Arabidopsis thaliana: one gene and its partner. The protein of the gene in region 2 interacts with the protein of the main gene of each other region in a pairwise test. Each region holds a gene or a part of one and is shown on either strand. Other genes may lie near its edges. The genes, in order: IPK1 and LOS4.

The links.
Region 1: the proteins of LOS4 (region 2) and IPK1 interact in a protein complementation assay, tested with the Arabidopsis thaliana proteins (one study listed by BioGRID).

Annotation. Positions count from the first base shown.
Region 1 is NC_003076.8:17,164,707-17,171,226, reverse strand, and holds IPK1 (inositol-pentakisphosphate 2-kinase 1), read right to left. Parts: upstream 4,526-6,520; 5' UTR 4,155-4,525; coding exon 4,053-4,154; intron 3,698-4,052; coding exon 3,485-3,697; intron 3,401-3,484; coding exon 3,253-3,400; intron 3,173-3,252; coding exon 3,132-3,172; intron 3,050-3,131; coding exon 2,939-3,049; intron 2,849-2,938; coding exon 2,258-2,848; intron 2,040-2,257; coding exon 1,890-2,039; 3' UTR 1,768-1,889; downstream 1-1,767. Other genes in the region: U2AF35B (Zinc finger C-x8-C-x5-C-x3-H type family protein), read left to right, coding at 1-782; DFR (dihydroflavonol 4-reductase), read left to right, coding at 5,363-5,480, 5,572-5,741, 5,822-6,016, 6,095-6,254, 6,334-6,520. UniProt on the Arabidopsis thaliana protein: Phosphorylates Ins(1,3,4,5,6)P5 at position 2 to form Ins(1,2,3,4,5,6)P6 (InsP6 or phytate). Phytate is a regulator of intracellular signaling, a highly abundant animal antinutrient, and a phosphate store in plant seeds.
Region 2 is NC_003074.8:19,684,665-19,691,161, reverse strand, and holds LOS4 (P-loop containing nucleoside triphosphate hydrolases superfamily protein), read right to left. Parts: upstream 3,423-6,497; 5' UTR 3,294-3,422; intron 3,197-3,293; 5' UTR 3,195-3,196; coding exon 2,958-3,194; intron 2,854-2,957; coding exon 2,560-2,853; intron 2,482-2,559; coding exon 2,254-2,481; intron 2,127-2,253; coding exon 2,061-2,126; intron 1,668-2,060; coding exon 1,269-1,667; intron 1,172-1,268; coding exon 1,063-1,171; intron 980-1,062; coding exon 891-979; intron 808-890; coding exon 739-807; 3' UTR 501-738; downstream 1-500. Other genes in the region: VPS37-1 (Modifier of rudimentary (Mod(r)) protein), read left to right, coding at 72-192, 273-433; AT3G53100 (GDSL-like Lipase/Acylhydrolase superfamily protein), read left to right, coding at 4,620-4,860, 4,976-5,106, 5,187-5,420, 5,572-5,827, 5,980-6,173. UniProt on the Arabidopsis thaliana protein: ATP-dependent RNA helicase essential for mRNA export from the nucleus. Plays an important role in the positive regulation of CBF/DREB transcription factors.

The DNA of each region.
Region 1 (6,520 bases), on a different chromosome or scaffold from region 2:
TTGGTGCTTGTCGTCACGGTGACCGGTGCTCACGGCTTCATAACCGTCCCACCATCTCGCCGACGCTTCTCCTCTCGAACATGTACCAGAGACCTGACATGATAACTCCAGGTGTGGATCCTCAGGGACAGCCGTTAGACCCGAGTAAGATCCAAGACCACTTTGAGGATTTCTACGAAGATATTTTCGAAGAACTCAACAAGTTTGGTGAAGTGGAGAGTCTCAATGTTTGTGACAATCTTGCTGATCATATGATTGGGAATGTGTATGTTCTGTTTAAGGAGGAGGATCACGCAGCTGCTGCGTTGCAGGCTTTGCAGGGGAGATTTTATTCCGGTCGTCCTATCATTGCTGATTTCTCTCCTGTGACGGATTTTAGGGAAGCTACTTGTAGGCAGTATGAAGAAAACAGCTGTAACCGTGGTGGGTACTGTAATTTCATGCATGTGAAGCAGATTTCGAGGGAGCTTAGGAGGAAATTGTTTGGGAGGTATCGTCGTTCATACCGTCGGGGAAGCAGAAGTCGAAGCAGGAGTATAAGCCCTCGACGTAAGAGAGAGCATTCGCGAGAGCGAGAGAGAGGGGACGTTAGGGACCGTGACCGGCATGGAAATGGGAAAAGGAGCAGTGATAGATCAGAGAGGCATGATCGGGATGGTGGTGGAAGGAGGAGACATGGAAGCCCGAAACGGAGCAGAAGCCCACGAAATGTGAGAGAAGGAAGCGAGGAAAGGAGGGCGAGAATTGAGCAATGGAACCGAGAACGTGATGAGGGAGTTTAAGGGTATCGTTTGGGCTGATTACTTCATAAAAATCGGTAAAATCTTGTAATGGATATTCATTTGGTGTTCTTTTTTTGAACTTGAAAAATGAGTGGCATGAACTCCTTAGATGATGTAAGGTGTTTACTGTATTTTGTAGAATTTTTGTTTAGAAACTAGTTCGTGAGGCAAATGATGGGTTCAGTTTTTCTAAGTTAATGTGGTAATGATCCCTTGGTTATTGTTCTTTATGATTGTCCCTTGCAATGTCTTCTTATAAGGTTTAAACACTTTGTATTGTTCGGGGAAAGAGATAAATGTTGTACGATTTTTTTGGGTGGATTGAATGAAGAAACCGAACCCAACCCAAATATTAACCCAAATATTATAAATACCCGAATGGGTGCTATGAGCCTAAACCCAAAAAACCCGAAGCGTATCGGAGCGTGTATTCGAATGCCAAGCCCTAGTCAGTTTTATTATTGTTAGTGTCCACTTTTCATGTTTAATGGATTTTGTTCTCGATAACTCAAAAAGTTATTATTTACAAGTGTGGTATCAGAGCATGGTTCATGATGCTACGGGAAACCATTTTCAATGTTTTATTAAGTAAATGTGTCGCAAAAGATGTTAGGAATTGGTTCAATCACTTGCTAAAACTTAAGTAGATGGGATTATATGACTTATCCTTTTTGTTGTGTTGTAGTATGCCGCCAAAGAGATCTCATGGTTGTGATTCAGTGGGAGAGGAGGGACGGTCCATGGGTCTGCCACCCCAAAGATACTATCTTTTGTGAGAGAGTGGGGAGACAGTATATCGGAAAACCGCTGACAAAATTTTCCATAGAAGGAGCAACAACAGTGGCTAAGCTCCACCATCTTTGTATGTACAAGCAATTCTGGCAAAACTTGACAGAGAGCATTCTGGAACAGTAAAATATCTCCAGGCAACGGCTCCATGCCGAGAGAAGACCAGGGAGAGAAAGAGATATAGAGTGAAGGAGATATAGTTCCAACAAATTTTAAGTTTAAGAAATGAACATTCATCTTTTAGGGCTTTCTTTATTATGTTCTACAACAACAGTAACCAAAAAAAAGAGAGCTAGTGGTATTGAGACGATACATGACTTAGCTGTGGGAAGGTTTTGAGTTGCCGATTTGTTCTGCCGTGTTTTCGGCTTTCTGCTTCCGATTGTAAAAGCTAATTATCTTCTTATCCAATTTGTAGTATGACTCCATTCTCTTAAGTGGTTTCAGGCTTAGATCAATGAAATGTACCTACAGTTACATAAATCAAATATCAAACAAATATAACAAAATGAAGAAACCGATTATATGGTTCCTGAGAACTCAACGTTTTCTAAGGAAATTTCTGTTCTTATAATGATTCGCGGATCCCACATTTTATTTTTAGAGAATTGTACCAATGATCTCAGCAAATATTATTAATAGTTCTTTCACCATATAAGACAAGAATGTGTTAAAATGGATCATACCTTGTAATCAAACGTTTGATTGGTCGGTTTTAGAGAGACGTAATCACCCGAGGGTTCTGAATCCCAAGCATTCCTTGATTGAAAACTGATCATAATACTACAGTCTTTGGCAGTTGCAGCTATCAAATACTCCTTCACAATCTTCAAGCTTTCATCTAAAGGTAAAGCATGTAGAGACAATTCCGCCTCCAGTGGCTTACCTTCTTTACATATAGGACAAGGCTGGTTGATTAAATCGTAATACGAATGAATCGCTCCTTCAATGTCTAATTTGTCTAGCTTCTGAATTTCAAGAAGTCTATCAAGAACTCCTGAGCCATAGACAGCGTCAGATACTAGTTGTAGAAAGCACTCTGTCCTATGACCGTCTTCTGATTGAATGAAGCCTTTGAGAGCATCCTCAAAGGCATACCCGATTTCGGGGCTGGTTCTCCCGGTGCTTTCACCTGAACCCCCTAATATGAGAGAACCATTCAAGAATACGCGGAAATTGTTTTGAGGAGTGGAATATAAAGCTTTTATAGCTTCCAAAACACTCTCTTTTGATCCAGAGAAGAGATCAAGAGGATCGTACTCGCTTTCTTCAGATATCTGTAGAATGGTGACATACTTATTAGACATTTCAGCAAATCACAATCTATAGACCATTAAGATTTTATACTAACAATGACTTGCTTTTACCTCGTTATATTCCAACTTTAAGAGTTGATGCATTTTGAAACGGCTTACGCTTGTTTTGAGCATGTTTTCTTTACCTATGAACCTTGAGGTTGGAAGAAATCCGCATTTGGGCTACTTCATGGAATTAAGGACAGTGAGTTTAGGTCAAGCATGATAAAGAGAAAACTAAAACAACCCAGAGGATTTATCAAACCTTTATTTCAACACTAATGCAATCACCACCGCTAGAAATACCTGACACAGATAACACCATATAGTTACGACTAATTTTTATGATCATGAAAAAAGTCCGATTTCTTATAATAATAGGTTACCTTGAGAAAAAAGTGAATGATCATTCAATATAAGGGCAGAATCATGACTCGTATCAACATTTGCTGCATTAACACGCCATAGCGGACGCTGCTTAGTTACTTTCTTATCAACACACTCAAGAAACTCCTTGGACACAGAAACACGTACCTACAATACTCTAATCATCAGCTTACCAAGAAGCCATAAGTATCTAAATAAAACCAACAAAGACCATTTGATAATATTACTTACTCCAGCATCAACATGTTTAGGACCCAAGAGTGGGATGATCACATTCTTAACATATCTTTGTTCAAGAACTTCCTTGTTTGGTGATGAAATCAGCTCATTGTTTTCTCTCCATAGATGTTGCTCATCGCTTGTTAAAACCGAAACAACACCATTCGCATTCTTGATTGCTTTATCATTCCTCCGAGCCTTCTGTATACGAATCACTTTCCCAACCTAATCAAAGTTCAGAGATAATGTAAAAGATTGGTCAAACTTAAACAAACCAAATCCAATTCTGTACAAAACATTTTACTGTTGAACATTGTGTTAACTCTTTAGACACTAATCAATCTGAGAAGATAAGAATTATACCAACACTGATTCTGATTCTGATTCTTCATAGAAGAAGAGAGCCACTAAAAAAGAATCTATATCCAAGTTTCTAACTAGAGAATCTAAACCAAACTTTTATAAAGCTAAAAAGTCAATGACGGCGAGAATCTGAACTACTTTTTTTCAAAGTTCATCAGACTTGCTTTAACTTTTACAGGATTCAAAAGGAAGAGAGATCGAAGAAGAAGAGACTAACAAAAAGTGGAGAAGATCCAGCGTAAGCAAGAACGAGATTGGCACCACCTTCGCCTCTGTAAATCCAATCTGATGCATCTTTCTCCTCCAAAATCATCTCCATGCGATACAAAATTCTTCGATTTTTAAAATCGAAATCAAGCGAAGATCTGATCAAATCAATTCACCAGAATTTTGCTAACGCAATGCAATTGAATAGAGAACGAAGATTTCTAGTGGTTGAAGAAGAAGAAGGAGAGCTTTGAAGTATTCTTCTCTCTCTGCGTCGAGCTCAAACGTGGTGGTGGACTACACCAAAGACGCTTGGCTTACTTTGTCTCTCTGTTTGGAGGAGAGTCAAAATTAAGCTGACCTCTTCTCTGACGTCTTACGATACAACAAATTGAAAATACAAGAGTTATATTGATTCTGTGTTTTAGAATCCACGTGGACGAGGTAACCACCACGTGTTATTTCTTACTTTATGAGATTAAGTGATTCACTGTCCTTCTAATTTTATTTTATTTTCTTTGCGAAAACTGGAAATAAATAAATTTTTGAAAACAATATTTTAACATATCAATTATTTTTATAATAATTCGTGAAATAATAATGAAAAAGCTGACATGGGACACAATTGGATAATTACATCTTTTAAAGTTTTAGTTTATGTATTTTATGTAAATGCTTATAATATTTAGATTGCAATAAATCTAGAAGTCATATTTATAAATTAATATGTTTTATAATTTTACAATTTTGTAATAAGAAACTCCTAATTCATAAATCTAAAATATAAACATATTTTTCATTTAAGCTTTTCCAAGATTTATAATTATTTTAGGTGTCTGATTTTTAGATTTCAATTAAAATTAAAATATTACTTAAGTAAAATGTATTTCTGTATATATTCTATCAAAATGTTAATTTGTTTAGACAAATTTTGATTTATTTCGTAAAAGTGGGTGGGGAACAAAAACAAAAACAAACTGAACTGAAGTCACCCACACGTCTCACCAAACAAATCGAAGTCAACGTATTTCACCCACCGGTACAACAACAAAATACACACCTAAGGAAATAATAAAATCAACTTACCAGATTGTTACGTACCACACATCTCTTTAGTCCTTCGTCAACCAACGTTCCCCACGTGCTTCTCCGGTTGGTACTCACGTGACCGGCAGCTTCTCGTTCTTATTATCTGTTTTCTTCAATAACGATTCATAATCTCTAGTGTCTTATTTATAATGTCTTCACATCACAAAGATTTGTACCGAACATACATAGTTGAATCTTTCCCAAAGCACAATCTATCATATAACCACAAAAATGGTTAGTCAGAAAGAGACCGTGTGTGTAACCGGCGCTTCGGGTTTCATCGGTTCATGGCTAGTGATGCGATTACTAGAACGTGGTTACTTTGTTCGTGCCACCGTTCGAGATCCCGGTACATATCTATATGTTCTTACAAACTCATTTCTCCTAAGATTATGTATATTAATATAACGTTTATTTACGGGTTTTTTTGGATTGTCAAGGTAATTTGAAGAAAGTACAACATCTTCTTGATTTGCCAAACGCCAAGACGCTACTCACTTTATGGAAGGCTGATTTATCTGAGGAAGGAAGCTACGATGATGCCATAAACGGATGTGACGGTGTTTTCCACGTGGCAACACCCATGGATTTTGAATCAAAAGATCCTGAGGTGAGTTTCTCTATATTAGGAAACTTCTTTTGGTTTTTGCGTCAACCTAGCTTAACTTGACTTTTGTATTTGCGAATCAGAACGAAGTGATAAAGCCGACAGTGAATGGAATGTTGGGGATAATGAAAGCATGTGTTAAGGCAAAGACCGTACGAAGATTCGTATTTACTTCATCTGCCGGAACCGTTAATGTAGAAGAACATCAGAAGAATGTCTATGATGAAAATGATTGGAGTGATCTTGAGTTTATCATGTCCAAAAAGATGACAGGATGGGTAAGAATATACATATTAATTAAACTCAAGTTACGGTTTTTTGAAGTAATTTAAAGTTCATATATATTTGTGTGGCAGATGTATTTCGTGTCAAAAACGTTAGCGGAGAAAGCAGCGTGGGATTTCGCCGAAGAGAAAGGATTAGATTTCATTAGTATTATTCCAACATTGGTGGTCGGTCCATTCATCACAACGTCTATGCCGCCTAGCCTTATCACCGCGCTCTCTCCTATCACTCGTACGTGTGTGTGCTTCTTCTTTTGTTGGAAATGTGAAAATGTTAAATCTAAAACGTTGAATATATTATAATGTTTTAGGGAACGAGGCGCATTACTCGATCATAAGACAAGGACAGTATGTGCATTTGGACGACTTATGCAACGCTCATATCTTCTTATACGAACAAGCAGCCGCCAAGGGACGTTATATTTGTTCCTCTCATGATGCAACCATTCTTACTATCTCCAAATTTCTCAGGCCAAAATACCCCGAATATAACGTACC
Region 2 (6,497 bases):
TTTCTTGTTCAGTTTTACCATGTTATACCTTTTCGATATCTCTGATTTACCAGTCTTTACTTATTTTACAGTGCAGAATTATCCGTACAACTGAGCTCGCAACTGCGCAAGAAAAGCTTAATGAGCTTGAGAGGCAAAAAGAAGAGATCCTCAAATTCTACTCCCCTGGTTCTCTTCTTCATAAACTTCAAGGTAACAATTTACCATTGCAATGGATTCTCCCCTCGTCTCATTTTCTCTACTGTTCTAAACACCTTTTACTTGTTTTGCAGAGGCTATGAATCAGGTGGATGAAGAATCCGAAGCCCTGCAAGAAAAGTTCCTAGAGAAGGAGATTGATACAGCAGCATTTGTGCAGAAATACAAGAAGCTTCGTACTACCTATCATCGACGAGCATTGATCCATCTTGCCGCTAAAACGTCAAACATTTGAGATTAAAAAGCTTTACACATTGAATTCGAGACTTTGGTTGTGTATTATGACTCTTACCCATTGTTGTAAAAAAAATGCTTTGCTGTTTACTGTTTAGGTTCATACTAAAGTGATTGACATTGACATAAAAAATGTTTTCCTTTTCCCTTAACAAAAAATCTACAAAGTCTGAAACTCTCAGCAATCAGATAAAAAGATTACAAGAAAACCTCAAAGAGGTATACAAGTTTCTTTCTTAAAACAATCTCAAGAAAACAGACGACATAGTCTTTTAAGATGGTTTGAACACATGCTGTCTCTCTTCCTCACTCGTCCAGCAGGCCAGCTTCCTTTAATGCACTCTTATACTCTTCCTCTGAGTTCCACGACTTGATCTGCAGCAAAGTTTAAAATCGTTGGATACTGTTTTAACAAACACTTGAAAGATATATAGCAGTTTTCAGAAATCTTATAATACCTCCTTAACATTTGCTTCAAAATACTTCTCGATCTTCTCCATCACCTCTTTATCCCAGCCATCATCAAGCAGCAAGTTGAAAACCGCTCCTACAATACAAATACATAGTTCAGAAACTGATAAGAACTTATGGAAACACTTGAGAAAGAAAAAAAGAAGAATCAAAACTCACCTTTGCGACCAAACCGGCCAGCTCTCCCAACCCTGTGAAGGTACACCTCATAATCTGGCTCTCCAGTTTCATATTTAGTGGGAAGATTATAATTGACAACCAAATTCACCTGCAAGTATTGTATATAACCAACAAGAGGTATTAACTACGAAGCATCTTTGAGGTAAAACGAGAAGAAAGGAAAAGGCTCAAAGGACAATATTTACCCGCTGTTGGTCAAAACCTCTTGCAATGACATCGGTAGCAATGAGCACTTGAGTAAGGCATTCTTTAAACTCTTTAACTATCTTATCCCTGTCCGATTCAGTCAGATTACCATGGACACTGGTAACGTCATATCCCATTTCCGCAAGGGCTTTGTGCACCTTTTGAGCAGACGCTTTTGTTTTCACAAAGATAATGGTTTGCCCAATATCCCCAAGCTCCATAATCTGATCCTTGATGACTTCGATCTTGTTTTGCTCCTTCGGGCAAACAACTTTATACTGCTTCACCGAGTCCAAAGCCAGATCCTCTCTTTTGACAAACAATTGGTTGGGATCTTTGACTGTCCGCGCAACAAAATCTTTGACAGTTTCGTTAAAAGTTGCCGAGAAAAGAAGAACCTGTTGAAAATAGGTCAAGAACACAAGCACACAATCAAATCTAGCACGAGAAAGAAAGAAAAAGAGTTTCCTTTGAATTGAGATTAACAGCCATAAATATAGTGAAACACAAGCAGTCATTAGTACAGCTTTCTGCAGTGAAGATATTCATAATCATTTTAGCACAGACATATATGTCATCTTAAGATATGACGGCTCTAAACAACAGAAAAAAACACAGCTGAGGTGCTTCTATTTACTAAGAGCTTCTGAACATTGAAACAAGTATAACTATAAGCTCAGTAGACTATCTTGTGCCCCCTAGATATCACGATAGATATGCCACTAGATATCAACTGTCATCCTACTTATAATTCAAGAAGCATGACCAAATCAGACACTAGTTAAACAGACCTGGAAATTGGGATTAACTCTCCCAATGTCTTTCATTATCTTCAAGGAATCATCCCTAAACCCATCCTGCAACAGCAATGAATTAACAATTATCAACAACATATGAAGGGAAAATATAATCACATTATACAGAAGTTAAATCATTACAGTTGAGAAAATAACAAGACCAAGTAAAACAGAAGAAAGAGCATACCGTAGCAAGCATATGGTCAGCCTCATCAAAAACCAGAATCTTCAAATGATTTAGACCTAGTCTCTTAAATGCCATCCATTTCTTAAGCGTTCCAGGGGTGCCAATCACAACATGAGCAGAAACAGGAGCTCCTCTTGTTGCCGCCGGTGCACCTCTCGTTGAGTCAGGCACAGCCAACTCAGCAGTGATCCCAGTAAACTTCCCCATCTTCTGAAGAACTTCCATATTCTGTCATTCAACCATTAAAAGAAGTCAACAATCAGATTACTCTCAGATCATAACCAAAATCAGAGTAACTAAACAAACCTGATTAGCTAATTCTCTAGTGGGACAAATACAGAGAGCTTGAGGCTCTCTCAATGTGGGATCAACACGACTCAACATTCCAAGAACGAAACAAGTCGTCTTTCCAGATCCGTTATGAGCCTGGGCAATCAGATGCTTGTGTGGCGGCGTCATTATCATAGGCAAACTAATAGCTTGGATCTTGCTAGGCTTTTCGAATTTCATCTCAACGTACAAGCCTTTCATCAATTCAGGTGACAAGTTCAAGTCTTCAAATCTACTTGCTGATGTATATGGTGTGTCACCAGAAGTAACCTTCAAAAAACACCAGATTTCAAAATCAACCAAACGAATCTGGAAAATCTAATAACCCTAGACTGTAATTAGGATCAAAGAGAGAGAGGGAATTGAAGTAATACAGCTTTGATGTTAGAATCTTCAGGTTCCTCAAGAATAGAATCAGGTTTCTCTTCTTCCTTAATGCTCAATGAATTAAGCTCCGATACAGCTTCTTCTTCATCATCATCATCTTCAACATCGCCCCACTTTTTCTTCTCCGTCGTGGGCTCAGTCTTCTCGGCGCTATTAGATGCTTCAACGGTGGATGATGAAGATGACTCAACAACGGTGGGAACTTTCTCTACCGTATCCGCCATAGCTGTAGCCAACAAAAAACCAATCAAATTAGAAACCCAAATTCATCTTAACTTCTCCATTGATTCGTGAAAGAGCTGAGATTCTGAGAGAAGTAGAACCTTTGAAATTCGCGAATGAGAGAATCAGAGAGAGAGAAGGAAGACGATGAACGATTTGTGTTATGTTTGAAGTCGGAGACAATTTTGGGGAAAAAGTGAAAACCCCAAATAAATAAGAGTTGCTGCTTTACTTTGAAGCTACTAGTCAAGGATTGTAAAAATCACTGACGTTAATTTCAAGCTGCTAGTAAAAATGGAAATTTACTGATGTTAATTTATAAGCTACACGTGATTAAACCGACTCTAGTCTATGTTGTTTTTGTTTATAATTCGGTTTATCTTTCTGTTTTCTCTAATTTCAATTCGGTTCGACGTAAGAATATGAAGCTTAATAGTAAAAATGTAAAATAATTGAACTTAATTTCATGCTAGCCACAATTGAAATAACATAACCGACTCTACCAATGATTTTTTAATAGTTCGGTTTATTCTAGACGACCCAACTAAATCATTTTGGGCTTTAATTTATGTATAAACAAAACAATATGGCCCAACAGTCCAAATTTGTTACAAAAGAAGCCATTTTCTACTAATTTGGGTCTTGTACCAAGTAGAGATTTTTACTTCCATGGTGGTGATATGGCCCAAACTCTTGTTTTTTCCTTGTAATATTCTTCATAAGTTTTTTTAAAAAGCTTATGACTTTTCTATGTACAAGAAAGGAAATAAACCATGATGGCTTAAGCACAATAGAAGAAAGAAGAAAGGAAAAGAAAAAACCATGATGGTTTAACCACAATCTTTGAGGTGGATGCCACATTACCCAATACATTATTACAAGAACAACAACTAAAAGTTGGTGGAGCTCACACTTTGATTTCCTCAAACATATCATCTCTTATCAAGAAAACTGTATCCTATCAGAATTTTATATTCATGCCTCCAACGGTTCAACAGAAACCAAAATTAGATTATTGAAGTATTGAGCAATCAATCAATCAAGATTAGATGATTTCCCCAATACCCATATTTTTATTGATAGAGCTACCCTTCAAACCAAAGCCTCCACGCGTGGCCCGAATTGAAATTTCGCGATATGACGGAAGTTTATGTTCGAGGATGCAAAGATATTACTGATCATGGTCCCATGATCAATGACCAAAGAGACTGACCTCATAAACAATTTCCACCTACTCTATTGCACTAGCAAATGCGTTTTCTTTATCTTAAACATAAGCATGGGGAGAATGATTATATTTTGTATAACATGCATCATCTTCTTAAGTCTCCATTTTCTCACCACTACTCTCTATTTCTTTCTCTCTGCTTCTCTCTCTTCTCTATTTGTCCTAACGACCTGATTGCATTAGACAGGAACGAAAAGGAATGCAAAAGATGAGAGTTTCGGGGTTTAGAGTTCTTCTCTTGGTTTCTTGTTTCTTCTGCAAATCCAAAGGAGCTGTTGTTCCTGCACTCATCATGTTTGGCGACTCCATTGTTGACGTTGGCAACAACAATAACTTACTCAGCATTGTCAAATCCAACTTTCTTCCTTACGGTAGAGACTTCATCGACCAAAGACCCACCGGAAGATTCTGCAACGGAAAACTCGCTGTAGATTTCTCAGGTAAAGTCTTTCTCACAAAACCACATATATCTATCTCTCCATCAAGTATTACCTTCAAATACTTTTTCTCTCTTCCTAATCTAATTGGTTTTTTAATCTGCCTACTTGTGTCTAGCCGAGTACCTTGGTTTCTCTTCATACCCACCTGCATTCCTAAGCCGGGAAGCAAGCAACGAGAATATCCTGATCGGTGCCAACTTTGCATCAGCTTCTTCAGGATACTATGATGCCACATCTGTTCCATTTGTAAAGGAGACAACACAGTCAAACATCATTACACACATACCCAAGAAATGATCCATAAGGTTTTACTCTTCCTTTTGCAGGGCTCGATCTCCTTAACACGACAGCTGAGCTATTACAGGGCGTATCAAAATAGAGTAACGAGAATGATCGGGAGGGGGAACGCGCGCATACTGTTCTCTAGAGGTATCCACATTTTGAGTGCGGGATCTAGCGACTTTCTTCAGAATTATTACATCAATCCTCTACTCAACATCCTAAATACACCTGATCAGTTCGCTGACATTCTCCTGAGATCCTTCTCAGAATTCATCCAGGTACTTCTAAGTTTAGTAACGAACTTGTAGAACTCGATATTCATAATAAGGCAACCATATGAATGTGCAAATTTACAAGAAACACAAAAAAATCGTATCAGTTATTTACCCTTTTTTGTGTGAACAAGAATCATACTGTCACTTGTAACAGAATCTGTATGAACTAGGAGCAAGGAGAATCGGAGTGATATCGCTACCGCCGATGGGTTGCCTGCCTGCAGCTATCACTCTTTTCGGTGCAGGAAACAAAAGTTGTGTTGAGAGACTGAACAATGATGCTATCATGTTCAATACTAAACTTGAGAACACAACCCGGTTACTGATGAATAGACACTCAGGCCTCAGACTCGTCGCCTTTAATGTCTACCAACCTTTCCTGGACATCATCACCAACCCAACTGACAATGGTACACACCTGCAAAATCTAAATCCTCATTCAACTTTAGACCATGATAGAGTGAGCTATTCACAGGAAGAAGAACTCAGATATTTAATCTAGTTAGCAACTAACAAGATACCATTAACATCTTATTAAATGTCTAAACTACATGTATTCTAGGATTCTTTGAAACAAAAAGGGCATGCTGCGGAACAGGGACAATAGAAACATCGTTCCTTTGCAATTCTCTATCCTTCGGAACGTGTGTAAATGCCACAGGATATGTGTTTTGGGATGGATTTCATCCCACAGAGGCTGTAAACGAGCTGTTGGCTGGTCAACTACTGGGTCAAGGGATTTCTCTAATCAATTGAATTGAGCTTCATTCCAGTTGGATTGAATTCAAACTGTATACCTACAAATAGCTACCAAAGTTTGTCTCTCTCTCTCTATCTCTCTCTCTTCTCTCTTTCTCTTTCTCTCTCTATATATGTAACTCACAAATAAGAGACAGATTGTGTGTGCGTGTGTGTGACTGAATGTAGAAACTACCAATCTGGTCTGTGTCACTGTGTGATGGCCTGATGGGTCTATAGGTCCAAGATTTGTTTGAGAAGATCACAATCTTTGGTATTTTATTTTTGTTCCGAATCTACCTCTTTAACATTTCTAAGGTTGATTACAGCAAGAATTTTGGT